Yarrowia lipolytica: one gene and its partners. The protein of the gene in region 4 purifies or fractionates together with the protein of the main gene of each other region. This does not show direct contact. Links are inferred from orthologs where the notes say so. Each region holds a gene or a part of one and is shown on either strand. Other genes may lie near its edges. The genes, in order: YALI1_D17370g, YALI1_A22157g, YALI1_B01628g and YALI1_F19192g.

Evidence for each region.
Region 1: the proteins of YALI1_F19192g (region 4) and YALI1_D17370g purify together in Saccharomyces cerevisiae (affinity purification with mass spectrometry, with the first as the bait; 3 studies listed by BioGRID). This does not show direct contact. The link is inferred for Yarrowia lipolytica from reciprocal best matches to the Saccharomyces cerevisiae genes UTP6 and SOF1.
Region 2: the proteins of YALI1_F19192g (region 4) and YALI1_A22157g purify together in Saccharomyces cerevisiae (affinity purification with mass spectrometry, with the first as the bait; 3 studies listed by BioGRID). This does not show direct contact. The link is inferred for Yarrowia lipolytica from reciprocal best matches to the Saccharomyces cerevisiae genes UTP6 and ENP2.
Region 3: the proteins of YALI1_F19192g (region 4) and YALI1_B01628g purify together in Saccharomyces cerevisiae (affinity purification with mass spectrometry; 5 studies listed by BioGRID). This does not show direct contact. The link is inferred for Yarrowia lipolytica from reciprocal best matches to the Saccharomyces cerevisiae genes UTP6 and NOP58.

The regions. Positions count from the first base shown.
Region 1 is NC_090773.1:1,734,227-1,741,655, forward strand, and holds YALI1_D17370g (uncharacterized protein), read left to right. Parts: upstream 1-2,837; coding exon 2,838-4,253; downstream 4,254-7,429. Other genes in the region: YALI1_D17355g (uncharacterized protein), read right to left, coding at 557-1,342; YALI1_D17410g (uncharacterized protein), read left to right, coding at 6,817-7,362. UniProt on the Saccharomyces cerevisiae protein: Required for ribosomal RNA processing.
Region 2 is NC_090770.1:2,212,502-2,220,677, reverse strand, and holds YALI1_A22157g (uncharacterized protein), read right to left. Parts: upstream 4,977-8,176; coding exon 2,892-4,976; downstream 1-2,891. Other genes in the region: YALI1_A22192g (uncharacterized protein), read right to left, coding at 1-1,510; YALI1_A22137g (uncharacterized protein), read right to left, coding at 5,214-6,980; YALI1_A22129g (uncharacterized protein), read right to left, coding at 7,207-7,818; YALI1_A22111g (uncharacterized protein), read right to left, coding at 8,008-8,176. UniProt on the Saccharomyces cerevisiae protein: May be involved in rRNA-processing and ribosome biosynthesis.
Region 3 is NC_090771.1:158,545-166,317, forward strand, and holds YALI1_B01628g (uncharacterized protein), read right to left. Parts: upstream 4,266-7,773; coding exon 2,718-4,265; downstream 1-2,717. Other genes in the region: YALI1_B01644g (uncharacterized protein), read left to right, coding at 5,905-7,398. UniProt on the Saccharomyces cerevisiae protein: Required for pre-18S rRNA processing. May bind microtubules.
Region 4 is NC_090775.1:1,915,112-1,922,916, reverse strand, and holds YALI1_F19192g (uncharacterized protein), read right to left. Parts: upstream 3,623-7,805; coding exon 2,216-3,622; downstream 1-2,215. Other genes in the region: YALI1_F19218g (uncharacterized protein), read right to left, coding at 206-1,024; YALI1_F19216g (uncharacterized protein), read left to right, coding at 1,286-2,092; YALI1_F19180g (uncharacterized protein), read right to left, coding at 4,066-4,863; YALI1_F19169g (uncharacterized protein), read left to right, coding at 5,987-7,363; YALI1_F19153g (uncharacterized protein), read left to right, coding at 7,574-7,805.

The DNA of each region.
Region 1 (7,429 bases), on a different chromosome or scaffold from region 4:
ACAACTGAATGGAAGGCAGATATGTTACCACTACACCAACAGCCCCGAAACATGCCCAGTTTTTTATTCTTGCGCACCAACGGTGGGCGGAAGGTCACGTGACCTGAGTTTTGGAGTGGGATTATTGGTGAAGGGGTGAGGATACTGGAGTTGGAGAAAAAGTGGTAATCGGGTTCTGGAAATTCTTTTAGACGGTTCTTCTAGACGGTTCTTCGACTTAGATGGTGTCGACGTAGATGAATGTCGACGATAAGGCCACGGAGTGTACGCGTAGTGTACTACCATTCACCTAGATTACTACGATACTCGTCCACAAACTAGCCAGCACGGCGCTGACTCTACATCTGAAGCACACTTATCTAATATGTTATCATTAACTATACGAGTATCCTTCATGCTCCTATGTTTGACGATCGAATGGCTATGGCAGTCAATCCTTCTGTTTGCATTGCAGTTTGATACTCGTTCATCAGCTCATCTAAGCGGTTTCATTCCAACTTCCCCTCCAACTACCCAATCCAGAGCGCAACTCAGTAACGCATTGCTACTATCGGAACTACGCCTCACCCATAACCACCTCCGTGGAAACGACATCAAAGGTTCGGACCTTTACGTCCAGCACGGCAGTGACGCCTCTAGGGAACTTGTAGCTCTGCTGCTTCTGCTCACGCACGTTCGGGGTTCGGTAGTTTCTGTGCAGCACTGCGTCCTTGCCCTGCTCCATGACACAGATGTCAACGTTGGAGCCGGATCCCAGATCGTTCCAGATACCGGACTCGATGGCGTCGGATGCAAGCTGGATCGCCTCCTCCTTGGTCAGCTCCTGCTTCCAGTTGGCTTCCAGCACGGCCATGGCAGCCATGGATCCGGAGCCCAGAGCGAGGTAGTATCCAACGTCGGTCGAGCCGTGGGCATGGATCGACATGAGCTGGGGCCCGGTGGGGTCGACGCCCGCCACAATCAGGTACGCGCCAATGTGGCCCTGGTACTTGAACAGGTGCTGTTTGAGCATGGTCAGGCAGGTGACCACTCGGGGCTGTCGGCCCGCAGACAGCGAGTGCAGCTCAATGTTGGACGCGGTGAGCTGGGTGACCATCTCCGTGTCGGCAGCGGTGCCGGCTCCCGCGCACCAGATGTGGGGAGCGATTCGATGCAGCTTCTCGCAATTTTTGTCCGCCACAATGTCGCCACTGGTGGCTCGGGTGTCGGCCGCAATCACCACGCCGCCATCGAACTTGCATCCGACAATTGTCGTTCCGGTGGAGGTCGCGGTCGGCACCTTGACGCCCTTGGCCGACAGATGCGCGTTTCGCTGGTAGTTTGAGAAGGACAATCCTGGCATTGTGTGTTTTGTATGAAGATGTGTACAGGTTGGTGATGTGCTGGTTCGAAGTACTGTAGATATAGCGTTGGGACCCAAGGTGGCAATTAGAGTTTGGCGGTGGGATTTGGGGGAGAGATTTGGGGGTCTTGGGGAAATTTGGCAGGGAAATGGAGGTGCGAGATTTGTCGACGAGGTTGGTTAGTGGCTACTGGGGTTTTCTGCCCGAAAAAACAACCAGAAATGGTCGCTTTGGGTCACCCTCTTGTCGGACATACAGTCTGACACTAAGGTAATCTTAATAAGCAGATATATGAAGAGATAGGAAATGAGGACGATAGAGGCGGAATATTGCAAATCTGACCTTTCAGATGAATTTTACAGCTGTAGAGCTTCAAAATGATACCAAAACGACCCTGATTTGCAGAGTTTTATAGGATGTGGCGAAACAATGTAGTTTCAGTGGAGTTCGATACGATCTCCCTGAATCAGACAGAGGGTCTCAGAGACTGAGGAGGCGTCATAATGGGCCTTTTTTTACAAATATTGATTTGGTTAGAACTTGAATGGCATCACTAGGGCCGTTTCCCGAGGTTTCCTCTTCTAGAGAGTCAGAAAGACGTCTGGTTGAGGTGATGTGGAGGGACTAGAATAGAAACAACTGTACCATTGTAATAAGCTTAATGAAAGATATCTAGCAATATCCAACACCCTTCACTTGGTGTACTGTGGCAAAAGTTGGTGTGTTCATAAGCTGGGATGGTGAGATAGTTGTGGAGAGACCCTGAGAGGCACAATGAAGGGGTACGGACAGTTGTAGAGTTGAAAAACAGGCTTGGTGACACAAAGGGACTAGTGAATCGGCCTTTCTGGTTTCAAAATGGCCCTTTTTCTCATCATAATGTTGTGCTTGCTAAGTTGTCAGCATATGAAGACGTGAAGAGTTGCTGACTCGAAAGTCCAAGTAGGAGCCCGAGAAAAGTGGGAAAGAATGAGAAAGAACCGGAGAGGAGTGTTTCAGCTTTATTTCTTGTACAATAATGCATAGACTAGACACTACTCTACAAGTAACCTGGTATCTCAGTCAAGCCATACACAGACCTCAGGGAGAGGGTACAAACACCACTCTCACTCTCCTAGAAGTTATATAGAGACCAGAATTGGTCAATTTAATGGATTTAGCATCTTTCAAACCCGCAGAATCCTCCATATATGTTCATATCTGGTTCTTTCGGACTCTAGACCATCCCCCCACGTCCACAACCACCCCAAAACGCACATCAGAATAAGAGAAAATGTTTCTTAGTCATCAAACTACATACTAAACCAACTAAACCAACATATACAACTCTCCAGTCCACAGTGTCTCGGGCGAACATGCTCCAGAACTAGTCGTTGTGCTCTCGTCGATACTGGCTTAGTCAGCACAACCACCCATCTGCAACCTTAAAAAAATATTTTCGATTAGCCTTCTATTTTCTGTTATCTGGCACCACCTTGCAACCACACAACCATCATGAAAATCAAGACCATTTCGCGGTCCACGGACGCCTATCTTGCCGACCGAGCCTCCGAGACGTCGCGGCAGCCCCGAAACCTCGACTCCGCGCTGCATCCCTTTGAGCGAGCCCGAGAATACACAAAAGCGCTGAATGCCACCAAGCTGGAGCGAATGTTTGCAAAGCCGTTTGTGGGCCAGCTGGGACGAGGCCACATCGACGGCGTGTACACGATTGCTCTGAACCCGCGGATGCTCAACGCTGCGGCGTCGGGCTCTGCTGACGGAGTGATCAAGTACTGGGACCTGACGTCGCAGGAGGAGACTTATTCCGTGCAGGCCCATGAGAACATTGTGCGTGGTCTGACAGTGACACCCGAGGGACGACTGCTGTCGTGTGCCTCTGACAAGACCGTCAAGCTGTGGGACATGAAGAACAAGAACCCCGACCCCAAGCAGGTGTATCTGGGAGACCGAGGCTTCAACTGTATTGACCATCAGCGAGGTCCCGACACCTCCAAGTTTGCCACTGGATGTGGAAAGGTGCAGCTGTGGGACACCACCCGGTCCAAGCCTCTTTCGTCGCTGTCCTGGGGCGCAGACACCATCACTTCTCTCAAGTTCTCTCCCTCTGAGCACGCTGTGTTTGCCTCCACCGGTTCCGACAGAGCCCTCACCCTCTACGACATCCGAACCAACTCGCCCATCAACAAGCTGGTCACCAGCATGAACAACAATGCCATTTCATGGAACCCCCAGGTGCCGTTCATGTTCTGTGCCGCCAACGAAGACCACAATGTCTATCTTTACGACATGCGAAACCTGTCTGCATGCACATCGTTCCTGCAGGACCACGTGGCTGCGGTCATGGACGTGGACTACTCGCCCACCGGCCGGGAAATCGTCACCGCCTCTTATGACAAGACTATCCGAATCTTCAACGTCCGAGAACGGTTCTCCAGAGACATTTACCACACCAAGCGAATGCAGCGGGTGTTTTCTGCAAAGTTCACTCTGGATAACAAGTACATTCTGTCGGGTTCAGATGACGGTAACGTGCGTCTGTGGCGAGCCAAGGCCTCCGAAAAGGCCGGTGTCCGGTCGTCCAGGGAGCGGGCATCCCGAGAATACACCGACGCTCTCAAGGAGCGATACAGACACATGCCCGAGGTGCGGTCCATTGCCCGACACCGACACGTGCCGTCTGCCATCAAGAATGCCCGTGAAATCAAGGGTATTGAGCGAAAGGCTCTCAAGAGACGACAGGACAACGAGAGAAAGCATAACAAGAACCTGCCTGACATTCATCTCAAACAGCAGCATATTGTTGGTGTTGCCATCAAGGACGATAAGAAGATTGAGGAGTGGAAGAGAATTCAGGAGGAGAAGAAGCAGCATAAGGAGAGTGTTGAGGGAGGTTGGAAGAATGTCTAGTGTTTTGCAGGTGAATAGCACGACGAGAACACGTGAGGAAATGACATCTGACTACACGACGATATTAATATAGACCTGTGAAACGACATTCCACTTTCGACACAACGTCGTCTGTCACAAGTGACATGGCGCACACAGCCGCGGTCGTGTTTCAAAAAAGATATAACATATATATGAGTGCATTTTTTATTATTACTGTACTTGGTTGAAGACTGATGAGCTGAACACATCCATCAACTCCGCCACCCCCTGGACTCTGTAGTCAGTCAGAAAGATATGGCCGGATGGGATTGTTGTGGAACGGCCAGAGGTTGAGCGACTTACGAAAGTATCAATACAAATACCTGGAATACAAATACCAGTACCGGACCGTTATTCGAGTGGATGTGAGGACTTGAGGTCCGATTTGCTGGTGGTAGAAGGATGAATCTACGTTAGTTGCTAAGTCAGTCAGTCCGTACTGGTACGGTACCTGTCTCGCCGTCCGTCGTACGTTAGTTGCTAAGTCAGCCAGTACGTACTGGTACGGTTCTCGTCTCGCCGTCCGTCGTACTGGTACGGTACTGTCTCGCAGTCGTATCGTACGCGCCTCGTACCGTCTCGCAGTCGTATCGTACGCGCCTCATACCTTCCGTCGCACGCTACCGCCCGTCGCACGCTACCGCCTCGCTGTCCGTCGTACCGCCTCGCACTCGCGGGCTCGCCGGACCTCCTACCACTTTCAATTGGCTGACACCTTATCCCTGTGTGTGTTCGGACTATGCGCTCATTGTTTACAAGTATGACGTGCATTATCGTAGGTGCCAAGAGCTGAGATACTGCTTGCTGCGGCTATCTATGGGGTTTAGCGGATGATATAGAAACAAAGGCTGGCATCTAAGCAATCTGGACGGGGCGAAAACCGAGTCGCGGTCCGTGCGACACGAAAAACACGTCTTTTCACCCCCAGCAACGGAGTCTAGCTCCCGCCCCAACTCTGTGATAAAGTTGAAAGGAAGAATGCTAACAATAGATTGTAAACACAAGGGATGTGGGCCAGAGAGGCGCTTATTCGCAGTGGCAAGCAGGGAAAAAGTCGTTGATCACGTCATTAACAACTACAAGCAACAGTGTCGTTGCTTCCTTTCGTCACGTGATAGCCCCAGTCCCGCGTTTGGCCCTCTCCTCGATCCCGCCGCCTTCCCCCTGCATCTACATACTCCAAGGGATGACGTGCAGGAGCCAAGCGTTCATATTCAACTCTAACCCTGGCTCTGACGCGGTATATATATATAAGCGGGGAGGCGTCTCCGTCTTTCGTCTTTCGTCTTTGTTAGTTCCAACCAACGTTCGTTTCTGCCACATCCACCATGCGACTCTCCACCACTCTCATTGCTGCTCTCTCCACCCTGGCTCTTGCTGCTCCTGCCCCTGCCCCTGCCCCGGTCAACGCCATCGTCAACGGCGACAAGCTCAAGAACATCGAGCACCTTGGAAAGCGAGACCTCAAGAAGATCGCCCAGGAGAAGGTGATTGTCAACGGCGACCAGCTGACCAAGGAGGCCAACTAATTGTGTCCGACAAGTGACTGAATGTCAAAGATACGACATGGTCAACCACAAACCAGCCTAGAGAACACTTTGCTCACTGTATATTTAATCAATTAATAATGACTACAACATGTTGCCGTTGATGACTGACGTGATATCACCGCTTGATGACTAACAAGTAACATCAGTTGGATAGAGATGGATAAAGCGATTCGAGGGGATTATTTTGATACTTGACAAAGAGATACCAGGGATATACTGAAAGGAAAGTACTTGTAGCTACTTGTAGGTTAGTCGTAGTCCAACGAAGGTGCGAGTCTCTCTTCATTATATCATCATTTTTTATTAAAACATATATTTTTGATTATCATTAATAATCTTTCAAACAATCTCCGATTTGCTGACTAAGACTACACTAATGGGTAGTCTACTCAAGCTGATTATTTTGATATTATGTAATCACACCTCGATTACTAGGGACAATACATAGTCTCTGATTTGATGACAAACGAGCTATTCGCTAGACATGAAAATTACACCAATAGAAACCCCACTCAAGCCCATCATTTCTACATTTTCAGGTCTCCCTATTGTCCAACAATAATTCCATCTCTGGACGTTCGACTAAGGCAAAGGTATACCTCTCCAACCTCTTCTTCAACAGCAGCAACCAAATAAGAAATGGAGAAATAAATAAATTAACAAAAGAAAAAAATAAAAAAAGGAAAAAAAAGGAAAAAAAAAAGAGGACCAAGAAACAACTCGAAATTCCCATTTTTTTTAATGCACAAAAATCAACCGCTTTTTTGTCCACTTCGGCCGCCATACCCAGTTACCCTACTGCATGACAATCTGCACACAAAGTTGATCCTCCAGTTGTGCATCACCAACGAGACATTGCACTACTGTACACACACACACACACACACACACACACACCGTCACACAAGATGATTGTGAGTATGATTGGAAAGAGCCATCATGTGGCAACCGACATCACTTGAAGATCTACATCACGTGACCAAAAGTGTTACATGATTAATCTCAAAACGCTCGATGGGACGAGCAGCTCCAGCGTTTTGCTAACACAGGTACCAAACAAGACAAAAATGGCCGATCTGGTCAACTACAGGCTCCGGGTGACGACTGTGGATGGCAAGCAGATGGTGGGACAGATGCTGGCGTTCGACCGGTACATGAATCTTGTTCTAAGTGACTGCGAGGAGTTCCGGGCAACGAAAAAGTCGCTGCTGGAGGCAAAAAAGACTATCCAGATCGAGAATGGCGACGCTTCTTCCGTGTCCATCACTGAGGAGAAACGGACTTTGGGGTTGGTCATTCTACGAGGCGAGACTGTGGTTTCTGTGTCTGTCGAGGCTCCTCCTCCCACAGATCCTACAGCTCGACTGGGCAACACCGCTCTGACACCCGGATCCGGGTCTGCCAAGGGCATCAACCGGGCCATCCCCACAGGTCCCAGAGGAGCTGGAGGACCGGGATTGGGAGGTCCCGTGCGAAGTGCGCCTGGAGGAAGAGCTCCTCCCGGGTTCCAGGCTCCTCCTGGATTTGGACGGGCGTAGACGCATACACACGTCTGGGCAGAACTGTGAAACCACGCGGACTGTCATGTTCGGTGACTAACGTCCG
Region 2 (8,176 bases), on a different chromosome or scaffold from region 4:
GGGGGGGAGGCATGTGGGCATGAGTAGACTGATGGGGCTGTGTGAGCTGCAATTGCTGCTGTGGTTGCTGATGGCTTTGCGCCTGCTCAGACTTGTTCTGGTTGTAGTCCGCGTCGTGGTCTGGTGCTCCTTTTCGTGTTTTTCTCTTGTTGTTGACTGCACAGGTGTCGCAATGGTCGAGGAAGAATTTGTGTGATGGGAAGATCTTCTCACAGTATCTACACCAGCCCGAGTCACTCTGTTTGAATTGCACAAAGTGGACCAGCCGCAGATGTCGTTTGAGCACATCTGATCGTGTGAAAGAGCCTCCGTTTCTGTGGCATGAGTTGTCTTCGGCGTAGAAGGGACACACAAACAGCGGCTCCTGGTGCGATCTCAGGTGGCGTCGTTGGTCGGAAATTCGCACAAATGACCATTCACATCCTGGGAAGGTGCATGGGTACTGCCGTTCTCCGGTAGTGGTTTCTGCAGCCTGAGGTCTTGAGGGCCGTTTGTGTTTTCGATGGTCGGCCTCGAGTTCCTTTTCTCCCAGAGGCGAGCAGTGGCTCAGGTCGTTGTTAGCCAGCACCTCGGCGACCTCAATTCGTTTTCTGCCTCGCTTTTTAGGTGGCGGTCTGTCGCCACCAAAGTCGGAAGCTGTGGACGCCTGCTCTGGAGGCGCGCGATTGTTATTGTTGCTGGTCTGCAGAGGCGCGTGCTGTTGAGGTTGCTGCTGCGCGTAGTCGGGGTAGGGTCGTTGTTCAGGCGAGTTTACACGAGGGTCGACGTTAATACGTGGCAGCTTGGGGTGTGAGGCGTCTCCCTGGTCGACTGGAGGCATTCGCTGCAAATCGGCCGAGTACGGGTAGTACGGGTAGTAGCCCATGGCGGGGGGTCGCATTCCTGGAGGAGGCAGACGCCCAGGGGCATAACCGTATGGTGCTGGAGGCTGGTGCTGGTGAGGATGGGCTTGTGGGTGGGGTGGTGAATGCTGGGGATGCTGGGGGAAGATACCTGGAGCTGCGGGAGGCTGCTGATGCGGATGGTTCTTCATATGAGAATGTGGTTGGGGGTAAGAGTAGTATGGCGAGGACTCTATGGCCGCTGTTGGGGGTGCAGCATTTCTGATGTGCGCGATCAATCCATCGGGCCCTCGAGCTGATGCTGCTGCTGACAAGAGCGATGTCGTATGAGAAGTATGCGACGAGGCGTTGTTGTTATTACTGTTGATGTTGGTGTCGGGGCGCAAGCCTGAGGCAGCTTCAGTGAGCACAGGTGCGATCTGGGGTTTGTTGAAGAGCGACTGCGACTGCGGATGTGGTTTCAGGCTGTTTTGGGTCTCGCGATCGCGGGCTTCCTGCGTCATCAACGGGCCTCGTGTGTCCGTCATGGTTGACGAGTCTGGTTGGTTACTGGTGCCGTTGGAAGACGATTGTTGTTGTTGAAGAGCAGAGTGAGGCGGATTGAGAAGGGCGGAATCGGCCTGGGAGGAAATTGGGGGGATGCGTGAGCGTTCGTCCTGAGCAGACATGTAGGGTTATAGGGACTTTTTCAGACCAAAATCAAAACAAGTGCAAACCACACTCGTGTGCTCTGGGCTTTTGCTTTCTCCAAACTGCTGCCGAAGGCCCTAAAGGTCCGTGCGGCGCGGAGTAATTCCAGCCGCTTGCCCAACCCTATTTTACCTTATAAGGCCAGGGCTAAAAGAAGCGCCGCAAGGCCGACAAACAAGTTGAGGTTGACAGCTTCCCGTTGTCTCCAAGAAGATAGAGATGCAGTTTTACGTGTGTGGCGCGGGTGTATAGGCTGAATCACACTGGCCTACCTAACCCCATGCAGCCGGCACACACACAAACCCTTAAACAGACCCACTCACAGCAGTCTCAACAGTTGCTGCTAGGTTGCGTGCCGAAAATGTGTGCGCAGCATTGCGTTATCCTCCTGTGCATTCAGCAGCCCTCGCTCCGTTAAATGAAACTCTTAACTTGTTTATTCGCAATCATGCCGACAAGCGGGTGGTGTGCTGCTGACGTTTCTGGGCGCGCAGAAATCAGTGGTCCGGAGGATGACACACCACTACTAAGCCATCCAACCGCTATGTGGCCCCGTAGGACCTTCCCCACTCGGGCCCAAACTTAAGACACCAACTTAAACGCAACCGTTGTGTTGCGGCGTCACGTGCATGGGAACCCGAGACCTCTCTCAGGCGGTTCTTTCATACCATACCATACCTACAGTATACACAACAGTTGAGTTTGGCTGGAGTGTACATGCGGGGCCCGTTGAAACTCAACAAGAGCCGCATAGAAAGAAGAGCTACGAAGAAATGGCTGTAGAGCACGTCATGGACAGTCAGATGTGATACGACTAGACTTGGGGAGATCCAAATACAGCAACCTACACTTCTTCTCTCTTATACTTCAAAACCCGTATCTCTATACGCCAAACACCTTATTATCAAAAGGGAGTCTCCGTTTAGTGTTCACCATTTTTTTCCGCAAGGCAGCATGAGCAAACTACCGATTTCATTAGCCGGTGAGTGGCCATACATCTTATCTGCGGTCGGTGGACGGGGAGCCGCAGAGGAATGTACACATACTGGTAGTTACGGGAAGTGGAGCGTGACAGGATCTGGAGCATGATAATGGTGTGCGGCGAGATAATAAATGGTGCGGCAAGCCATTCGGCACGGTTACGACAAATTGATACAGTTTTCAGTGCTATCATAGTACGAGTACGAGTAGGAATAAGCGTTTGCATCGGTGTCTTCCTGCGTCTTTCGAGTAGCTACAGTACAAGTACAGTACCGGTATCTCAGTTGTATACACTCGTACTGCATTCATTACATCATCTACATAATCTCTCGAACTAATACTTTGAATCCTTTCGCTTCTATACTAATTATGCATTTCTTACATACCTCGGAAGGCGTTCTTGCCAGCCCGTCGTCGACCATCATACTCCTGTCTGCTCTTTCCAGTGTCCCGTGCCTCCTCTTCATCTCCATCTCGCTTGGGTCGAGGACCACGACCCTTTTTGCCTCTTCCCTGAGGCACAAAAGTCATCTCCACGGCTCCTCCAGCGCCCTTGGACATCTTGACGTTCTTCATGACGTGCCGGTCCTCCTCAGCCTCGAGATCAGCCACTCGGTCAGCAAAGTCGTCATCGGGAATCTCCTCTCGAGCAGCCTCAGAGCCCGTAGTCATCTTGATATTGTCAGCACGCTTGGCCTGGAAGGCTGCACGCTCAGCAGCCTTCTTCTCAGCCCGCTTCTCTGCCAGAGCCTTCTTCTTGGCGGCCTTTCGCTCATCCTCAGAGTCGGGCTCCTCATCAGTAGCCTCCACGTGCTCATCGGACGAGTAGCCGTTATTCTCCTCCATGGCCTCCTCCTCAGCAGCAGTAAGGGGTCGGGCAGTAGTTCGCAGAGGTGCCTCACCATACTGCTGGCCCTTGACCTTCTTGTGCGAAGGGTTGAGCTGCTTGAACTCTGCAGCATTCTCGTCGACCTCGAAATCGGGGTTCTCGAAAATGCCAGCGAATCGATCGTCGGAAAGAGCAGCCTTGGAAGTCTCCTTGGCAGACACCTTCTTCTTGTTAGTGACCTCGGCCTCAGACTCAGCCAATAGTCTCTCAGCAAGAGCCCTGTTAACCTTGACACGGGATGCAATGGCTCCAGTTCCAGAGGTTCGGATACGCGACTCCCGCTCCTTCTCCAGAGTCTTTCGGATCTCCCGCTCTCGGTGCTCCTTGTAAGCAAAAGGGTTGGAGATGAGCTTGGCCTGCTCGTAGAGCCGCTGGTCAATGAAGTAACCATGCATATACGACTTGACCACGGCCGAGCCAATGAGGTGTGAAATGTTGAGTGCCGCCAGCTCTCGCTTGGTGACAAACTTGTAGTTGTCGTATACAGAAGTGCTGGGCTTCTCCTCCAGCTCTTCGGTGACGTTTTCCAGGAATGAACACCACTTGGGCGCAGGTCCCAGATTGGGGATGTAGTAAGTATGCATAGGAATACCCTCGTTGGCGAACATGAACATACCGGAACCGGGGATGTGTGCCACGTCGTTAATGTCCACAGTGGGCTCAATGGAGGTGTAGGCGTCTCCGGTTCGTCGGTCCCAGATCTTGGCGACTCGCTTGTCGGCAGACAGCACATGGTCGTCGTTGACCCACAGCACCTTCTTGATGCCAAAACCGTATCCCTGGTCCTTGGTGACATAGGGCTCCGGCGCTCGCAGATCAAAGAGACGAACAATACCGTCAGCGTTACCGATACCCACGTTCAGACCGTCGTTTCTGAACTTGAGAGCTGTGGCACCGCCACCCAGTCCGGGAGCGCCCACATCCAGCATACCCACTCTGCTCCTACTTCGAGGATCCCAAAATTCGACAATACCAGCATCAGTACCGAAACCCAGGAGACCGTGGGCCTGGTTAACGTCCAGACAGTTGACACCGGCACTGCTGAGCTCAAAGGGAGCCATAAACCGACCCTGGTCCAGGTTCAGTCTGTATACCTCGTTTCCTGCAGCTCCAACATACAGGTCGCAGTTTTCGTCGTTGTAAGCCAGCGCTCGTCCAAACTTTGGGATTCGTGATTTCGTCAGGATTCCGCCCTGTCCTTGGAATTCAATAGATCGGTCGTTTTGCAGATGCACACTCTTGGTCCAGTCGTCGGAGATAATCTTGAAGTCAACATTCTCAGCGTCAGTGTGTCGCTCAAACTTGAGAGAGAGATCCTCAAAGTCGTAGACATGGATCTGAGGCTTATAAGTACCGGTGGCCATGCAATATCCTCCATCTCGAGTCACCTCAATTTTGTTGGAAGCCTCAGCAAATTCGAAATCCTGAATCAGCTCGATTCGGTTGGAGTACTCGGCATCGTTCTTGAGAGACTTCTTTCGCTTCTTGGCCAGCCATTCTGGCAGTGATCTGGAAGAGTTTGTACCAGAAATCTGGTACACAGAAACGGCTCCAGGTGTAGATCGAAGGACCATTGTGGTGTTGATGCGTCAGTGATATACCTTGGAACTTTTGTGTCCCTCTGCAGATTACTGCCAAAAAATTTCAAATAGGCTCACCATGCATATTTGAGCCCTAAACCAGGTTACTGAAATAGGCTTCTCAAGTGAAAATGATTACGTAAACTAGCTACAAGATCGATCTTGAACGGCATATATTTATTGACAAATGGTAATGATAGGAAAAGAAGAGAATATACTGCAAGACCGTAACTAAGTACTTCCAGAAACAGTGGCTCTATCTTCCAAGGAAGAAGTGAACTTGGAACGCAGCTGTGTGATATCAAAAGACGGCGTGTCTCCCCAACGTCTAAGGAAGTCATTGAAGTAAAACTCGCACCCGTAAAAGTACTTCTTGTCATAGAACCTGCTGAACACGGTGGCAAATACCCCAACAAACCGTAGAGACTGCTGCGAAAGCTCAGCCAGTAGTTCCACAAGAATCAGACCTCCAGACGGGAAGACCTGGATGCAACCGTTGAAAGTGGACATGATAAGCTCGATAGAAGACGTTTCCTCGTGGATAACGCAGTTGGAATAGGCTGCCAGGAGTCCAGAAAAGAGCACTCTAATCAGATCTTTGTCAATCTCTTCGCGAATAAAAGAGTATGTGTATTCAATCTGGAGTCTAATGACCCCAATTAAAGAGAGAATCACGTGGTTTCTCTCCCGGGTAGCCATCGTGGTGCCCTCGAACTCGCCCAGCTGGAAAGGAAGGTACCTGTCTTCCAACTTGATAGGCTCTACCTTGGAGGGTAGAAGCGGAGATGGAGGAGAGACATAGGAGAGAATGTTACCGATGACAAGATCCTTATTTCCAGCCCCATTCATCTCACAAACGAGGTAGAGGAGTCTACACAGCGCAAAAATGAGTGATACAGGGGGATCAAGCTCATAGAACTTCTTGTTCGCTCCGTACACCTCCTCAGGTTTATCAGCGGCGATCCACTCAGTCACCACTGCAGACAGAGCACCCATCCAGGTGTGATGGGGGTTAGAAGAGTTCATTTTGGCCGACAAGAGGTCTGGACGGTCCAAAATCTGGAACACAAACTCCATCTGTTGGGTGAGAGAACCCGTGGAGTATCGTGGGACACATGGATGGCTTGGCAGCTCCTCCTCAGGGTCAATGAATCTGATTGTGAGACCAACACGAACCATAAGAATGGTCGTCATGCCCACAATCTCCTCATCAGGGTTCTCCAGCAGCTCGACAAGCTCTTCGTAGTAGTCTTGACGAACAAGCATGAGAGAGAGGAACTGCAGGTCAGGTTCTGACGCACAGAAGCTCAATATCTCACCAAGGCTGATTTTTGGAGACTGTTGGAGTCCTGTCAGTATCTGGGAGATCTTTCCGAATCGCGAAAGTAGGTAATGGGCAGTAGCAGAATCTCCATTGGACACAGGCATGCCCAAAACAAGACCTCGAGACTCGTCTAGAACTTTGGTCATGGTCTTGGGTTGGACAGAAATGCCTAGGGCGTTGGCCCGTAGGTTGAGTGCTCCCCAACGTTGGATCAGAAAGTCAGGAATAGAAATTAATGCCTGGTTGAGCTCGGATATGAAAATGTAGACCAGCGTGATGCCATGGAAGACTCTTCCGAAGCGCACAAAGTCGATTGAGCCTGAAGAGACGCAACATTCCTCACCCAGAGAGACCATGGTATCGAACACGGAGTGCATGCTCAGCAGAACACTGGAGTCGATAATGGGCGTCTTATAGTGACGAGTGAGGATCTGGACCATCTGCTTGGCAGCTTCCAGACGGTCTTCCCACGGTCCTTCGTTGATCAGCCGGTTGCAGCTGTATCGAAGACAGATACCACCCAAAAAGCTGTCTAGGTAAGGCTCATTTTCTCTCCCTGAGAACAGACAGATGGCTTCACTGTTGGCGTAGAGGTCGATGGTTCCATCTCTATACACAGATTGGACGAAGGGTTCCAGCTTTCCAGAGTTGAAGGCAGTGTATAGGGCGTCCATGATAAACAAACAGAGTCTTGTGTTGAGAGTTGTATGGTATGTGTTGTGTAAAAAAGAGACAAAAGTGTTAGGATATACTGTAGAAAGTGAGCCCCAAAAGACCCGTCATAAAGAGAATGTAGAGACGAAAATACACACAGTGTACTGTACATTGCATATTTGAGCAGTCAATCGGAGTGCGAGTATTGTACTGGCAGCAGTATCACCAGTCGGTTTGGGTTGTGGATCAGACGACATGAACCCCAGCCTCTTCAAGACTAGCAACAATCTTTTTTTCAGAAGAAGGATCCACAGGTTTGGTGGCTTCCCTAATGACTGTGGTTTTATAGCCGCGTTTGGCAGCGTCTTTAGCTGTATTGAACACACAATAATCAAATGCAAGTCCCACCACGTCAACCTCCGTAACGCCATTTTGCTGCAACAGGTCATGAAGCTCTGTCTTGTGGATGCCCCAAACGTCCTCAAATCCAGAATAATACTCTCTGTCCTGCAAGTATCCCTTTCGAACAAGAGCCTGCACATTGGACGAGTCGAATGAAGGAGGGTAATCTGCCCCAGAAGTACCCTCCACACAATGAACAGGCCACACGGTATGGTCTACCTGTTTGTCTGAGTTAGGGTGCTTGAATGTGATTGAGGTGAACGGCTCAGCTCCATGGTTGGCGGCGAACGATGTGTGGTCTTGGGGATGACTGTCTTTGGTGGCCACCACAAATTTGTACTTGCCAGAGTCAGCGAGTTTCTGAACAATGGGTATGATGTCATTTCCGTCGACTACAGCAAGAGAGCCTCCAGGAAGAAAGTCATTTTGCAAGTCCACAATGATGAGTGCTGCCATGGTGATTTGGTGTGTGGGGAGGTGGAAGTTTCATGACGATAACGTCTGTCTGTCTGCATGCGCGCGAATCTAAATTGTATAGGAGAGATAACCAACAAAGTGAAGAATATAAGAGAATCAACATAATTACTTGAAAGATACTTGACAAACAGCATAAATCAGAAAATAATTATTGCTATAAAACACAACCTACAGCCCTCTACTCTTCCTGAGATCCTCAATGGTTCTACACTGAAGAGGCTCTGCCGGAATATGGGGCTCTCGACCTCCATGGGGCCAGGTGGGGAGATAGCAGACCTCGTTGTCCTTGCACCGATGAGTACAAGAAACAAAATAGGACCAGTTGAGATCAGATATC
Region 3 (7,773 bases), on a different chromosome or scaffold from region 4:
GGCTGTGACTGGATGGAAATATGACAGACACTGAGGATCGGGTGGTATCTTTGGAGATGTTACCATTCACACCCAAGTCCAATGGTCGTACAAAGTCGAAAACGGAGACATTGAGTTCCTCCAAGATGGCTAGTTGCCAATTGACCTCCAAATTGTCAGATTTAAGCAAAGTTGTGGTTCTTCTTCAAGAGATCGGTCTGGACATTTCGGTGAAGACTGACATAGTTCAGGGGTGCTGTGTTGGTAATGAATCTGCGGCAACGGAACGGCGGTAACGAAACGGCTCGTGGTCTTTTATCGCAATCAGGTTTTCCAGTTTTCCGTACAACTTCCACCCCATTGCGTAGTTTGTACAAACCAAATCCTCTCGCGTGACATTATTCACGGGGACCTCAATGTTGTATGGTGGTGAGAGCCCTCAAAGTGGTTAATTGGGTGTAGTGAAGAACTTGGCCGGAGAAGGAGGAAAAGATATCTTCGGAGTTGGGTGAGGGAAAGACTTGATCAGGGTAAGAGATGGAGTAGAAAAGTTCGGTGAAGGAGATCCCCGAGTGAGATCCATGAGGGAGATCTTTTCAGAAATTGATCCAGTCTTTCCATGTTCAGTGAGTGAACTTGCTGAAAAAGAAGGGGTGCATCCCGTGAAGAACCTATCTGCAGAGGATGAGCTCAGTTTAAATAGACTGGAGCAATGGCCACCCAACACCAACCATGTCGTGATCTTGGTCCAAAAAAATTATATAAGGGGGAGTTGGGACCCCCACTATTCTTACAGACAGACTCAGACGAACGCAGACAGTCACAGACGAACACAGACAGACAGAGTCGATCAACAGATATCCACTGTTGCAGTCAATGTCGCAGTCAACGTCGCAGTCAACGTCGCAGTCAACGTTGCAGACCGCCCTTTTGAGACCACCCAGTAAATGTCTGACATTATTCTTCTGGCAGCAGTGACAGATACACACACAATGTCTCTGGCTCCAGTGACAGATACGCACACAATGTCGCTGACTTCAGTGTTACTTCACACCGGTTCTCCGGTTCATGGTGAAGCCTTCAGTTTGTCTCCACTCCTTCTCTCTTCGCTCACTCAACGTAAGTACAGTCACAGATACCTCGTGAATGATAGCTAACACGGACCTGTGTCAAGGAAGTTTCACCCTTGAATATCTCTGTCAGTGGCTTTGCGAATGTATCACTGACTGGCTCTTTGCTCTGGCAGCGGCACATGTGATCCTCAAGAACTCACAAGGCACGGAGCAGGCTCGGTCATTTTATTCGGCCAAACTCGCTCTCAGCTCATGGCATTCGTCAGCTCATGGCTGTCAACAGGACATACAGTCTCGGATCTACTGACACTTGGCGCAGGCGGTCGTTCTCGCCTCAATGTTGAAATCGCCGAGAAACAAATCTCTACTCAAATGCCCAATCAGAAGCCGTCGCAAGGTTTCCATAGCGTATCAAAGAGATTCTAAGACTGATTGCCCAGGTCTTGGAGCTCGTTCGTTCGCTCACATTCTAGGCTCCACCCGGTCATCCGCTACATCCTTCCTCTCGCTTTTCCAATTCACCAGATCTGTTCATTCCCTCCATCACCCAGTTTCCTTCAATCCAATTCCCCCTCCACAGCCGTCCGGTCAATGGTCTCCATACGGTCGCCTACTTGTAGAGCCAGTGTTGTCCGTGAAGGATGGTGGTTGGAAAGAAAGGGAGTGAGGTGAATTAATGAGGTAATACGAGTGTAATGAGTGGTCCAGTGGTGAGGCAGGGTTGGGGTATGATCGTGGTCAAGGGGTAATTGAATTATTTCCTCTTCTACCGAGACCCCTTTATTGTTCAACCCCTTTACCTTCTGGCCGCAGCCGCGCAACACAGGCTCTGTCTTCTTGTCCAATGGTGCAGCGTCATTCATACCACGTCATCAAGTCGTTTCCATGCAACCTCCTCCGTTGACAATTCTCTACACGAATATCTATTCACCCTCCCCATACTGGCCTAGTTCTCCGCCCCTATACTCCCGTCATGATCAATCCTTGATAGCCTGCTCTTATCCCACAGTGCCCCCCAACCATTGCAAATGTTCTTAGCACAGAGGTGCCTCCGGTATTGATGGCGAAAGTCGCAGCCATTTCATTTGCAATACTTCGATAAGTGGCAGAAGCTCTCTGGCTTCTTCCGGAAAATCCAAGCTTCCCCTCGGAACTCGTTCCCAATCACAGCGCACGCTTTCGCACGTCTCCCACAGACACATTAATGATGACTGCCGACTTTGTACAGTCCTGATCACTACGGCAGTTCTCCATGCCACATTCCTCCTCACGGTTACGCTATAGGTGATAGGAATGTGTCCTACTTTCAGCCCGTGAGTACACTTGCATTGACTAACACAGGCCTTAAAGATCAGCATGTTCACAGGGGGTCCAGGGAATCACCAAGACGCTGCAGCACTACTCGGTTGTCGGTGTTCTGATACGATACAAGCAGTCTATCCCAACATTTATAGTCGGTGGTCAGTGGCAGTCGGCGCTCTTGGTGTTTTCTCCTACTGTTTATAGATCAGTAAATCTCGACTGTGAGTGGGCGTTCGCGGCGTTCGCGGCGGTCGCTGCTACTTTCTACTGCCTGGGTCGGTAACTCTCGACTCGGGCTGTGCCCTCATTTGTCGAACCTCCTCCGCGTCTGTCTAACAATTAAAATACATACCACTATCTACTTTACTTCTTGCTCTTCTTCTCCTTCTTGGGCTCGTCGTCGTCGTCCTCTCGCTTTCGCTTCTTGTCCTTCTTTTCCTTCTTTTCCTTCTTATCCTTCTTTTCCTTCTTGTCCTTCTTGTCCTTCTTTTCCTTCTTGTCCTTCTTTTCCTTCTTTTCCTTCTTTGCCTTCTTCTCCTTGACCTCCTCCTCAGAGTCGGAATCCTCGTCGTCAGAGTCGGCTCCGGCGGTGGTGTTGCCGACGGTGTCGGCGTCAGCGTTGTACTGCTTGCCGGTGGAAAGGTCGACCTTCTTGTGCTCGATCTTGTTCACGTCGGGTCGGACGGTGCCGACAATCTCCTTGCCCTCGAGCTGTCGGAGACGGTTCTCGACCTTGATTCGGTTGTCGATGCCGAGAATGGGCACGTCCTCCCGCTCCTCGGCAAATGCATCGTATCGCATGGACACGGAGGCCTTGGCGGCGAGCATTCGGGCAATCTTACCCTTGTTCTTGCCGGAGGCCTGGCCGATGAGCGAAGCGTGGTAGATGATACCGTACTTGGGGGTATCGTGCTTGGTCTTGAGGGCTCGGAAAAGGGCCTTCTCGGCACCAAGAATCTGGACGGTGGAGGCGGGGGCCTTGGCGAGGTTGACGAGGGAGCCGGAGTGGGCAATGAGCCGGGCACCGACGAGCTCGCCGACGAGGGCGGTCAGGTTGGGGGCAATGGCGGCCATTCGGGCGTTGAGGTAGTTGGAGAGCTGTTCTCGGTACTCGGCAAAGTCAATGACCTGGTCGGCGAGGCACTGGATGTTTTCGAGGTCAAACTCGGTGATTTCCGTACCCATGGAGACCTCGGCGGCAACCTTGAGGGCGGCCTCAACCTCCTCGGGGAGCACCTCAGACAGATCGGTCTCGGAGGCGTTGGATCGGTAGCCCATGGTCTTGATGACTCGGGCGTAGGCAATGTTGTCGGCGACAATCTTGGCCATCTCGGGGAAGTGCCAGCCGTACCACTCCTTGATTCGCATGGCGTATGTGTTGAGCTCCTTGTCCAGATCATCTAGTAATGCGATGGCCTGCACAATCATGGTGTCGACCTTGTCGGGGGAGAACTTGAGCTTGTGTCGTCCCAGCGAATGGGCCAGACCCAGGCTCATGGTGGCCAGGTCCTTCTCGGTGAGGCCGGGCAGCAGAGAGGGCAGGTTTTCTCGGATGGCTCGGAAGAGATCGAGCGAGGCGGACTCGGCAACCACGTCAAATGGCAGATCCAGCTTGTTGATGGCGTTGCCCAGCTTGGGGTCGGCCACCACCAGAGCAGACTTCTTCTCGTCCTTGAACTCGTTGAGCAAAGCAGCGAGCTTGTCGGAGACCCGGCCATCCACAATGGCGTTGACCTCCTCCAGAGCAGAGGCGGCAGAGTCAAACTTGGAGAAGCCCTTGACCTTGAACTGCGAGGTCACCAGCTCGGGGGTCGACAGCTCCTCGAGAATCGACTCCGACTTGTAGATCTTCTTGTCCTTGGCCTTAAGCACGGCGTAGCCGGCAGACGTTTCCGTCAGAATAAATGTCATGGTGTCGTGTGTGGGCGGTGGTGACGTAGATGACAAGTGCGGTTGTCAAGTGTAGTCAGTGGAGATGGATGGGAAAAAAATTTGGGACGACTAAATTTTTTCCAAAGTTTATTTTAGGGTTAGGGCCCAGGCGAGACAAGCCCAGATGAGAGTGTAGCGAATGTCTGGGCGAGTCTGAGCGGGGAAACATCTGAACTGATACATGTGGTATTTTCTGACCATTTCCCCATTTTCCCATTTTCCATTCTCATTTTGCCATCTTTCATTTTTTCCATATTTTCTCCAATTTTTCCAATTTTTCCAATTGTCTTTTTTTCTTTTATCCATTTTCCATTTTTCCATTTTCCATGTCCCATCGTTTCCACAGTGAAAATTCTTCTCCTAATTTTGCTGTGATTCAGGAGGCTTGAAATGGGGTTTTTTTTAGGGAAATGATTTATTGATTTGAGATTTGATTTTATCTGATTTATTTTGATTTTCAGATTTTCCGGTCCCAATTTTCCCATTTTATTTCAGATTTTCCGGTCCCAATTTTCCAAAAAAATTCCCACGCTACACCACATCTAAATACGGTCGAATCTTCCTAGACGGCTCCATATTTCCACTAATTTCACAATAAAGTAGGTACATTGTGCGATTTTCTTTTCTTCCTTTTCTCTTTTTTTATCCCATTTTTTTGTATATATTTGTATATATTTTTATATTTTTTTTCATTTATTTATTTAATTTCTAGTTATTTTTTATTTATTTTAATTCATTTGCTGAACCGCTCTTCCGATCTGCATATCACTGCAGAAAGTGATATCGATAAAAAAATAGTCAGATATACTCAAGTGGAGCCAAACGGAAACAGGATCGACGGGATTGAATGATCACGTGATGAGAACAATGGGTACTTTCAGGGTGGTCACGTGATCAGAGTCTTGGTCGGCGCGGTGGGGGTGACCTTGACTGACCTGGGGGGGGGGAATGTCTGATGGGCTGTCGCTGACTAAGGTGATAATAGGGCAGAATTCGTAATGCAGAATTTGTAGATTAGGAGATTCTTGGATGCTCACGGTGATGAGGTACTCGTATTGTAGGTACTCGTAGATATGTCTTACCGAAAACAAGTGGACGAGATCACCTTTTGACGAAAGAGACACTCTTTTGGCGATTCCAGAGACTCTGTTTGGCTTCCCACGACTTCTGATGTATACACTGACTCTCATCTTGAAGCTCCAACATTGCTCAGATTTGAATGGTTGAAGTTGCAGTTTGTTAATGGGGTTGTTTTAAATAGTATGCTCCATTCAATATTTCTCATTTGTTCTTTGATTGTGTTGAAAAACATGAAAACTATCTGGAAAGGGTTTGGTAACAGTAGCTAACCAAGTTTCAACAAATGACACCAGAATGCTAACCAATTTTCAACAAATGTCAACAAGTAAGATTTCAGATAAGTTCGTCTCCCGCCGACCGTCCACCCGAAATATTAATACCATTGTGGAGCTGTGATTGAGGAGATTCCAAATATTTTATTTTCGACACGATTTCATTGACCTACCGAGAACTGGAGGGCCCGTCTGGTTCTAAATAAACTTTCTGCACTTACTCCAGACACTTGTCACCACTTTTAGCCACTCTCTCCACTTGACCAATGATCAAAATCAAGCTGAAGCCCGAAAAACGGTCGCCGGAGGCATCGCCGGAGAAGCGGCGGACCAAGAAGCGCAAAACGGATGAGGAAGGGGCCAAACCGAGCACTCCGTCGCTCAGCATCAAGTTGAAGGCGCCCAAAAAAGAGCGGGAGTCCAAGCCGCGGTTGTCCCTGAAACTGAGCAACAAAAAGAGCGAGAGCGCGGCGCCGGAAAGCAGCCGGGCGTCGACCGCGAGTGGCGGATCCACTAAAAAGAGCAAGGTGGTGCCGCGGATCCGAGTCAAGGCCGCCCGCGAACCGGGCCAGGGATACGACAGCGAAGCGCCGGACCGCGAAGACGATCCGCTGATTGAAGAGGGATTGATTTTGCGATTCCCACCAATCGGTAAAAGAGGCCGCGACGACCTGTCATATCTGCGGACGGCGGTGGAGAACCAGGATTACAGCAACATTGTGATTCGGTTCAAGGACTCGCGCAGGGCGGTGGTTTCTGTGCGGGGGCGGCATTACGCGGCGAAATTGGTGGACTTGCCGGCGATCGTCGAGGCCCAAAAGACGTTTGACCGCGGCAAAAACATGTTCAAGTGTCTGGACATTTGCCAAATGTTACTTGTCACCGAGCCCATTTCGTCCGAACACAGCATTATGGAGGCGCGGTCGATGCAATGGGACAAGAGCTCCAGCGAAAGCGCGCTGACCTGTCGCCATGGCCTGACTCCGCCGTTGTTTGACGCCAAACGTCGCCGATTCAGAAAAACCGTGTCCACAAAGGTGATTGAATCGGTGGAGCAAAAGGTGACGGACTTGCTGGATCTGGACGACGAGGCAGACTCCACATCATATGAGCTTGTCGATGGACGCACCCTGGCGTCCTTGTATGGAGCCGGTGGGGTTGCGGGCTCGCAATCTGTGTCTACCACTGTTTCTGCCGCCGCCACTCCTCCTCCGCGGTTTGCCATGGTCGACGAGGGAGAAATGGACGTGGATTTGCTCGATAAAGAGCTGGAGCGGGCCCTGGAGGACCAAGGCTCGGATGAGGGCGAAGAAATCGAGGCCGATGATGCGTCCGAGTCCGAAGATGAGGGAGAAGGCGCAGGTGAGTCGGACAACTCGGACGAAGAGGAATTGCCCCGAGCGTCGGCCGGAATGGACGATGACGACGACGGTGAAGAGGGAGGACACGCCAAGGTGCTGGTCGACACGATTGCAGATCTGGAGGCGACCATCAAAAAGCAGCAGGACGACGCCGACCGCACCGCCAACGCCATGCTCAAGGAGCGGTTCAACCAGCGAATCTCCAAGCTCAAACATGAGCTGGAGGTCAAGAAGAAACAGCTCAAGGCAAAGAATACCATCAAGGAGAAGAAGAAGGAGATCGATAAGAAGGAAAAGAAGGAGGAGAAGGAGGAGAGTGAGGACAAGGTGGAAAAGGGCGAGGTCAAGGACAAGGGTGTGGGCAGTGACGACGATATGGATTTGGATGATTTGTTTTAGCCGAGCTCGGCAGGGTGGGAGTTGATATGGAGAAAATCCAGACCCGAATCTATTCCGTTCCACACCAACGACAAAGTCCGATGGGTCCGCTCGTGGTCCGTTCACCAGAGGAGTCGACCTGTGAACTTCAGTCATCTCTCTACACTGCTTCGATATGCCACGGGACCTCCACCGTATGTCGTCTAACAACGGTCTGCATCGGTCTAATGAAATACAATAATTTATTCTGGTTCTGTACGAGTAGTGGAGGGTGTGTGCATGTTGTCATATGACTGGCATAGTTGTCCACGTGTTCAGTTTTCACGTGACCGGAGCACAAGATCGAGTAGTTGGTCACGTGTCCAACTTCCGCGTCTCACGTGACGACACTATGAT
Region 4 (7,805 bases):
GGTATGTACTTGTACTTACCAAAGAGACCTGATCATTCCGCAGTTACCTCGTAGTTGTAACTACTAGGGTGCTGAACGACCACCTCATGCAGGACATCTAGCAGCTTAGTAACTAGATGGCTGGGCACATCTTCTCTCAGGGTGATCTGTGGTGTTTATGCAGTTGCCACCCATTATCCAGTCTTTGATCCACATGCCCGTTGCTCTATGCTTGCAATTTGCTTTCTCCATCTTTTTGCTGGTATGGTGCAGACCCAGGAAACTGCGACACCACCACACCATTCTTGTCTACACACTCGAAGTTGTATCTTGAGAGGTAATGTGGCAACGCACAAAGCTGGGGTCCATATCGCGCGGGGTTGTCATAGAGCTCGAAAAGAGGGACAGCAAGGAATGTCATATTCGATGGTACGAAGAAAGCAATCTTCTCGGGCAGAGAAATGAGGAAAGTCTTCTTGCATTCTTTTGGTCGAGAAATGTGCGGTGGCAGAAATGGATACATGAAAACCTCGAAGTTAGGTCTCCACCATTGCGCCAGGCAGTCTAGTACCTTCCATGACTTCGAGTTCTCCTGGTCCTCTCCGTTCTCAGGGCTGAGCCTATCTGCGAGCTTCCTCAGCAATCCACCCTCCTCGTCCTCCTCGTCGGGGTCCAAGTACTCTCCGGGAAGTTTAAAAAAGTTGTTTGGCAACTGGAGTAAGAAGACGTAAGGAGTTCCGAACTCATGACACAGAAATACCCCCTCCACGTACCGCAACATCCCCGATTCGTCGTACATGCTTTTCAGTCGTTGCATGCGCGCCTGCACAGAGACATCCCTCTCAACCTGAGCATCCTTGGTTGCGAACACGTAGTTGGAGGAGGGATACAGTCGTATGGTCTGTTGGCGCGCTGCAAAGTCTTGCGTTGGTGGTGGAATCAGTGTGGTTTTCCGTGACGATTGCGGTATGGTCGTCATGGCATGAAAGAAACTATGGGGAGGCTTGTTGCTGCTGCCTCTTACTTGTAACTTAGCTCCATGCATGGCCCATGTACGATCTGATTTCAGAGTAGAAGGCTCTTTTGGGCAGATATATGACTAATCAGCACAGGTTTGTGGCATTCCCATTTTTCCCATCTGGGTGTTCGAGGTGATGGTTGCTATGACACGATGGATGCCTCGCTGTGCCTTCCACATGTGGCTAATTTAGCCTTGACACCAAGCACTCTTTGTTTGGGCACGTGACGTAGCTGACCTTACAAGGTTCAGATCAACCATCTGGCCACACCATCCAACACAACCAACATGAGACTGGCCCCGCTTTTTATCGCCGGAGTGCTAGCTGCTGAGCCATATTTTTTTGATTCTCGGGGAGAAACAGATCTCAACCCCTATAGCATAGGCGACGATCTCCCTCTCGAATGCATTAAACGAAACATCCACGACGGAGAACACATGGTCGATGAAAAGACCCAAGAAATTCTTTATGAGGACTTCCCCATCTGCAGAGAAACAGGAAAGCCCCTCTCTCTTCAATACCGTGTTGACCAAGATGTGAATTGCACCATTGGATTCTCCGACACGCTCTACCACCTTTTCCAGCTCTATATTCACGAGGATGCTCCCTTCAGCTGCAGACTCAGAGCCTCCAAACAAAAGAACAAGAACGTGCTCTCAGAGCCTACAACCTGGCTTCCGTTGACATTCACCATTCGTGGCCACATTCAGGAGTCTCATTTGGACATCGACCCGAAGCTCAATGCCGTGATGATGTACTCGCGAAAGACCGAGACGCCTGTGGTAGCAGCCGCGTTTTCCAGAGGAACGGAGACCGAGAGATACAAGAACGGTGATTTTCTGCCCCTCCAGCTCTCTGTTAAGTGGTATCCCGGTAGCAACAATAACGAGGTGTTTACCCTCCCTGCCAACCCTGACTCCAACTCCGCTTTCTCTTCCACCACGCTCATGTGGTGTGCTGCAACCATGATCGCTACTGCAGCTATTGTGACCGTTGTTTTTCAGGGCGTGATTTTCCCACGAAAACTGCGATCAGAGAACTTCGGAACTCCCCTTCCTCGTTTTGCTGACTGGGGAAGCAGCAAGAAGGACTAAACATGATATAGAACAGTAAATATACCAAATATACCAAATATACCAAACATATCAAAATATTCTAAATATAGCTACTTATATACAGATGCAGTTTGCGTGTGTGTAAATATATATTAAAGATGCTTACATATCGTCCTCGGTCTTCTTGATGACGGCCTTAAGCGCTCGCTTGAGGTTCTCGTCGATCTCTCTATCAACAGACTTGCCAGCTGTAAGGTAGTCCGCCAGCTTCTCCTTGAACTGTGACGCAATTTGCTTACGGACTTGCTGTTGTCTCTCCGATCCCTTTTTCTTCCAGGTCTTAGACATGGCGACATTGTACTTGTTCAGAGCCAGCTTGAAGGCCTCAGGGAAGGAAGCATCAAGAGGGGACAAGTACCGCACTGAGAGGGTGATGTCATCCACCACCAACCGAGCAATATCTGCGATAGCACTCTCGGTGAGCTTCAGGGATGCGGACCCAATGTCGTTGTTGATTTGTTGCATGACAGCCTGGATGACATGTGCACAAAGGTACTCTCGGTCCATATCCTCAAACTCGTCAAAGAGCTCGAGGAACTGTCGTGAGAAAGACAGCAGGAATGCAAAATGAGGTGCAAGAGCGACTGTAAAAGATCCATCGTCATTCTTGAGACCAGTGTTGATCTCTGAAGAGTACCTAGGGATAGTCTCGAGAGCAGAGTCGAAGATTGCAAGAGCAACATCACCTCGAAGGGCAGGGTTGGTGGAGGGGTTACCGAGCATGTCAATATCAGCCTCAGGAAGAGTCTTGAGTTCAGCCTTGATGTCATCGTCACCATCAAGCTCAGGAAGGGCAATGACGTTTTCATCGTCAACTTCCTTTACTTCCTCAGCCTCTCGCTGCTTGTCTCTATCAGCAAGGATTCCAAGGAGCTTTCGTCGAGTCAGGATCTTAGACACATACAACAGCTCCAGCTTGGTGTATTCTAGCCAAAGCTTTTTGCTCTCGGGGTTGAATCTCAGACCTCTCTGGAAGACAGATCGTGCTGTCTGTGCTGCAGAGTTCTCATCAAACTCATGCTTGGCTACCATGATCCAGATGTCAGCCCGGTTGGGGAAGAGCTTGAGCATGTTAGTATGGACAGTCGACAGCTTCGCCATCATTTTGTAATGCTTCAGGAAAGCGATGTGCTGCTTCCACAGGTCAGCATCGCCTGCGAATTTCTTGGTTCCTCGGTCGAACACGAAATTGATTCGCCTTCGGCCGGCATAGTCGGAGATGTTTGTAGGGGTAGGCATGTTTCTGTTTCTGTTTTTCTTGAGCTTGGCAGCAGGATTGTTTCCGAGTCTAGCAATCCGCTTCATCCGAAGAGCCTCCAGATTTATTTCAAAGTGGGCATACCGCAAAAAATCTCGAGGCCGAGACTGTCTTCCGGTGATTCTGTGCTCGAAATCGGTTCGCTTACGCACAAGCTGAGCAATCTCTTTTTTGGTGAAGAGTCCTCGCTGTTCAAGGTCTTCGAGCTCAGGAATGCTCTGTTCTAGGTAGAATCGTACTTGGTCGGACATCCTGATGCTTGTGAAGTGGTTGGAAATATATTTTCTAGAGTTCCAAAATTTCTACCATCCTGCAGAACAACTGAACTCTATTTTGTATTTAACCATGTGTGCTGATTAAGCATGACATCGCAATAAATAACACATACGGTAGGTACGTGTCGGTAACTTATTGTTATGCCGTAGAGAAAAGGCAAGTTCATTGAATCAGGACTTAGTTCACTTCCTCATTTTCGAGAAAAAACAAACTCTCTCACAATGGTATTTCAATCTTACATACTGTACGTCCAGTTGTGTTGGTCTTAGTATCTATTGTACAATGTGCACGCAGTGTCAACCCTTGATCGTAAATACAGGAAGATTCCTTATGCTATATGAATGTAATAAAATAATATGATGGCACCAATTGGATGCCTATTTAACTGCGCGACCTTGAATATTCAGGTACGGACCAACTATCTGCCGTAATCCTTGAGGACACCATCCAGATGTGTGTTTGTGATCTTGCTTCGACGGGGCTTCTTTTGTTTCTTTGAACCATTCCCGTTGGCCTTGTTGCTCTTGATAGTGGCAGGATCCACAGATGTAGGCTTGAGGCCAGCCTCTTCCAACTTCGACGGCAACTCGGACTCATCGGGGACCTTGATCTGTGACCACATTGACCGGAACTCTCCATCAACCATGCCGATTGGCCCACCCATATTAGCCCACATCATTCTTGGTGAGTTCTCCTTCTTGGTACGGAGAACAATCAGATCTCCGCTCTGCTCAAGCTCTTCGATACTGTCTAGACAATCGGCCCAGCCGTCCTTAAGATCGCGCACGCTGAGACCCTTGGCTGTAGGTTGAGACTTAAGAAATGCCATGAGCTGTGCCTTGGTACGGATATTGAATTTGGGCATGTACTCAAATCCCCTCTGGACAGCGTTGTAGGACATCTGGTCCATCTTCTTCAATAGGGGCACCAAGAAATCAGCGCTTTGCAGCGACAGGTATGATCGAATGTTCTCGATCGGAACAACACCAACCTGCTTTTTGATGTACTCCACAGCATGCATCAACTGTGTAGCAGCGTGGCGGCCAACGTTCTCATTGAAGGGGTTCACGGGCGGAACCACCTTACGCTTCTTTTGTTGACCACCAACACCCTCCTCCTCCTCCTTGCGTTTAGCCACAAACGACGGCTTCTTGATCGTAGGCGCCGATTTGATCTTGTTTTTAAACGCAGAGAGCTGGTTGTCGAGGGAGGACATTTTGCGGTGGACTGACACAACTGTTCTCGTGAGATTTACAATATGGGCATGCTGATGAATAGGTTAAGGGTTTATTTCCCGATTTGGACATCATTGGGTACACTATGCCCAGACAGTCGGCAATGACTGTTGGGAGAATTGGTAGTAGGGTACGCATAATTTGTGAGGCAGAGAAAATTTCGGTTACCCGGTCGCAAACCGAAACACATATATATACTTTTCCCCCAGCACTTTTTTTCTCCAAACAAACTCCGTTTCTTCTGATGTCCGAATCGAGATGCTTGCACGTCGTGGCAATAGGGGGAGGCGGAGGAGATTGACAAATAACAACCTAAAAACCATTGCTGGAGAGGCGCCCTTAACTGCTGGCGCTCATGATACAGTGATGACCTGAGGCGTGTGACATTCTTCTATGTAATAATGAGGTAGAAATATCACGCATCGTGGCAAATTATGGGGGCTCTGTTCCAGCTCCTAAGTTTCCTGATGCGGAGGCAAGTACTCGCTCGTACTCGTACTGGTACAGTACTTGTACATATGTTTTCTGGTCCTGGTACTTTACGAGTGCATCTATTATCGTACGAACTGTAGACGGAAGTGCTACTGTAATGAAGTGCGAGAGGACAACGCAGGTGAACCTGGTGTGGCAATGAGCATAACGGTGATTTCGATTAACACTATACCCATTTCTTCGATGTTGTCAAATCAGTGCCGGACCCACAAACACAAGCACACACGCAATTTTAGTTTTTGAGTCCCATCCTACATTGTGCTATTGTACAATCCATCCTCCATTCCTCGCGTGGGTGTTTCGTGTTGTACTGTAGATCAGATTGACGTCACAATGCAGAATAGATCCCCACTGTTTATATTTAAATAAAGACATATACGACCATACCACAAAACCTGAGAGAGTTTGTAGGCTACTTGTAGAATGAGTAGCTCTGCTACCAGTCAATGGCCAACACAGTATTATCTTGCCCCGGAAACGGACCGCAACATTCTATTTACTCCGCATTATACTTAGGGGGGGGCGGGGCAGTACGAGTACATACAAGGATCCACCACACACGTCACAACTGTAAATATTACAGAACCTAACCAGATACAACATCCGCATGTTATGACACGACAAATGGAAAGAGCTGCTTCGCTGGTAGGATGTTTCCTTACCGGTATCGCGTGTGGTACCATGTACCTCTACTCGGCTTTTGCTCCCCAGCTAGGGCTGCGGCTCGCTCTTAATACGACTGACACGTCTAAAATCGGCATGATTGGAAACCTCGGCATGGCACTCAGTGGACCTTTTGCTGGTGTCGTTGTGGACAAGCACGGGTTCCAGGCGCCCATTATCATCGGCGCTCTGTTCATGGGCGGTGGTTACACTATCATACGGCTTTGCTACATCAATGTAGTGGCCTCCGTGCCTACTCTCGCGTGTGCCATGGCTCTGGTCGGAACGGGAGGAACCTTTGGATTTGCCAGCGCCATGAAATGTGCAGCTGTGAACTTCCCTAATGCTCGCGGTGCTGCAACTAGTGTCCCCATGGCAGCTTTTGGACTGTCTGCCTTCTTCTTCTCTACACTCTTTTCGACCTACTATGATGGCGTTACTCTCGACTTTCTTTTCGCTCTAGCCATTATCCCCACCATCCTTCTTGCTATTGGTATCATTACCGTGCGCCCCTTGCCTCCAGCTTTTCACTCAAGGGGTACCTCTGGTATCGAAATGCACACTCGTATCTCTCAGCCTACCAGCCCTCAAAGCCCCAGGTCCAAGGAGGCAGATGCTGATATCAAGAAAAGCAGCGCAACATCCAATAATGTGGATATTTATGGATTGAAATTGATCATGAATAGCCAATTCTGGAAACATTTCGTGATCATGGGGTTCATTGCAGGCATTGGACAGATGTTCATTTATTCGTGTGGGTTCAGCGTCAAGGCGCTACAGTTCCAGTCAAAGACCGTGGCTGGAGCCCACGATTCGGAGCAGTTGCAGTCTCTACAGGTGGGTGCCATTTCCATTGCCTCGTTCCTAGGTCGAATTGGATCAGGGTACTTGTGTGATTTGGCTGCTAGCAAGTCCCACCCGCGATCATTATTGTTGATTGCATCTACCGCAGCCTCTGTGATGGGTCAGATTGGAGCTCTGAGTGTCAATGAAGTTCACAACTTTTGGATGGTATCTGCGTTATCGGGTCTTGCCTATGGTATCTGCTTTGGTTCATACCCCACCATTTTGGCTGACTCGTATGGCATGAAGCACTTCAGCCAGAACTGGGGACTGCTGTCGCTAGCCCCCATCGTCCCATCTTACTGCCTCAACTTGTGGTACGGCAAGGTTTATGATTCGCATTCCATCGTCACCGAACGAGGAGCTCGGATCTGTACACTTGGCGCCGCATGTTATCATGAAGCGTTCCAGTTGTCGTTTGTATGCGTGGCTGGAGTTGCATGCGTCGTGCTGTGGCTGGTATACAGGGAGTACCGCCAGTAGGCCAACGACATTGAATATTTATAACCTCAAATATATGTACCATATATACAATGACCTATCTACATGCTCGTGCCGTACATGGACTCCCTACCATTTTGCTGTCACTATCATTTCATGAAATTATTTATGGTACGTGTTTGGCTCACGTGACAATATGCATGATAAGATGTGTCTAAGGTCACAAGCATCATCATCAGGGTTTGCACACCAATGCGACCAGCAACAGCCCCAGTATGGGAAGACACCTCATTTAACAATGATTCGAGACAAAAAGGCAGTCAGCTGACTCGCAACCATTTCGGCGGCTCAATGAGAAACAGCGCGACACTGGCTCGTCGTGCCAAAAAGTTTGAGATCCCCACAACCCAGGAAGATTATGGACTGCTGAGTCGTGGAGAAGACACACGTCTGGTTAACAATGAGGAGGAACAAAAGAAATACT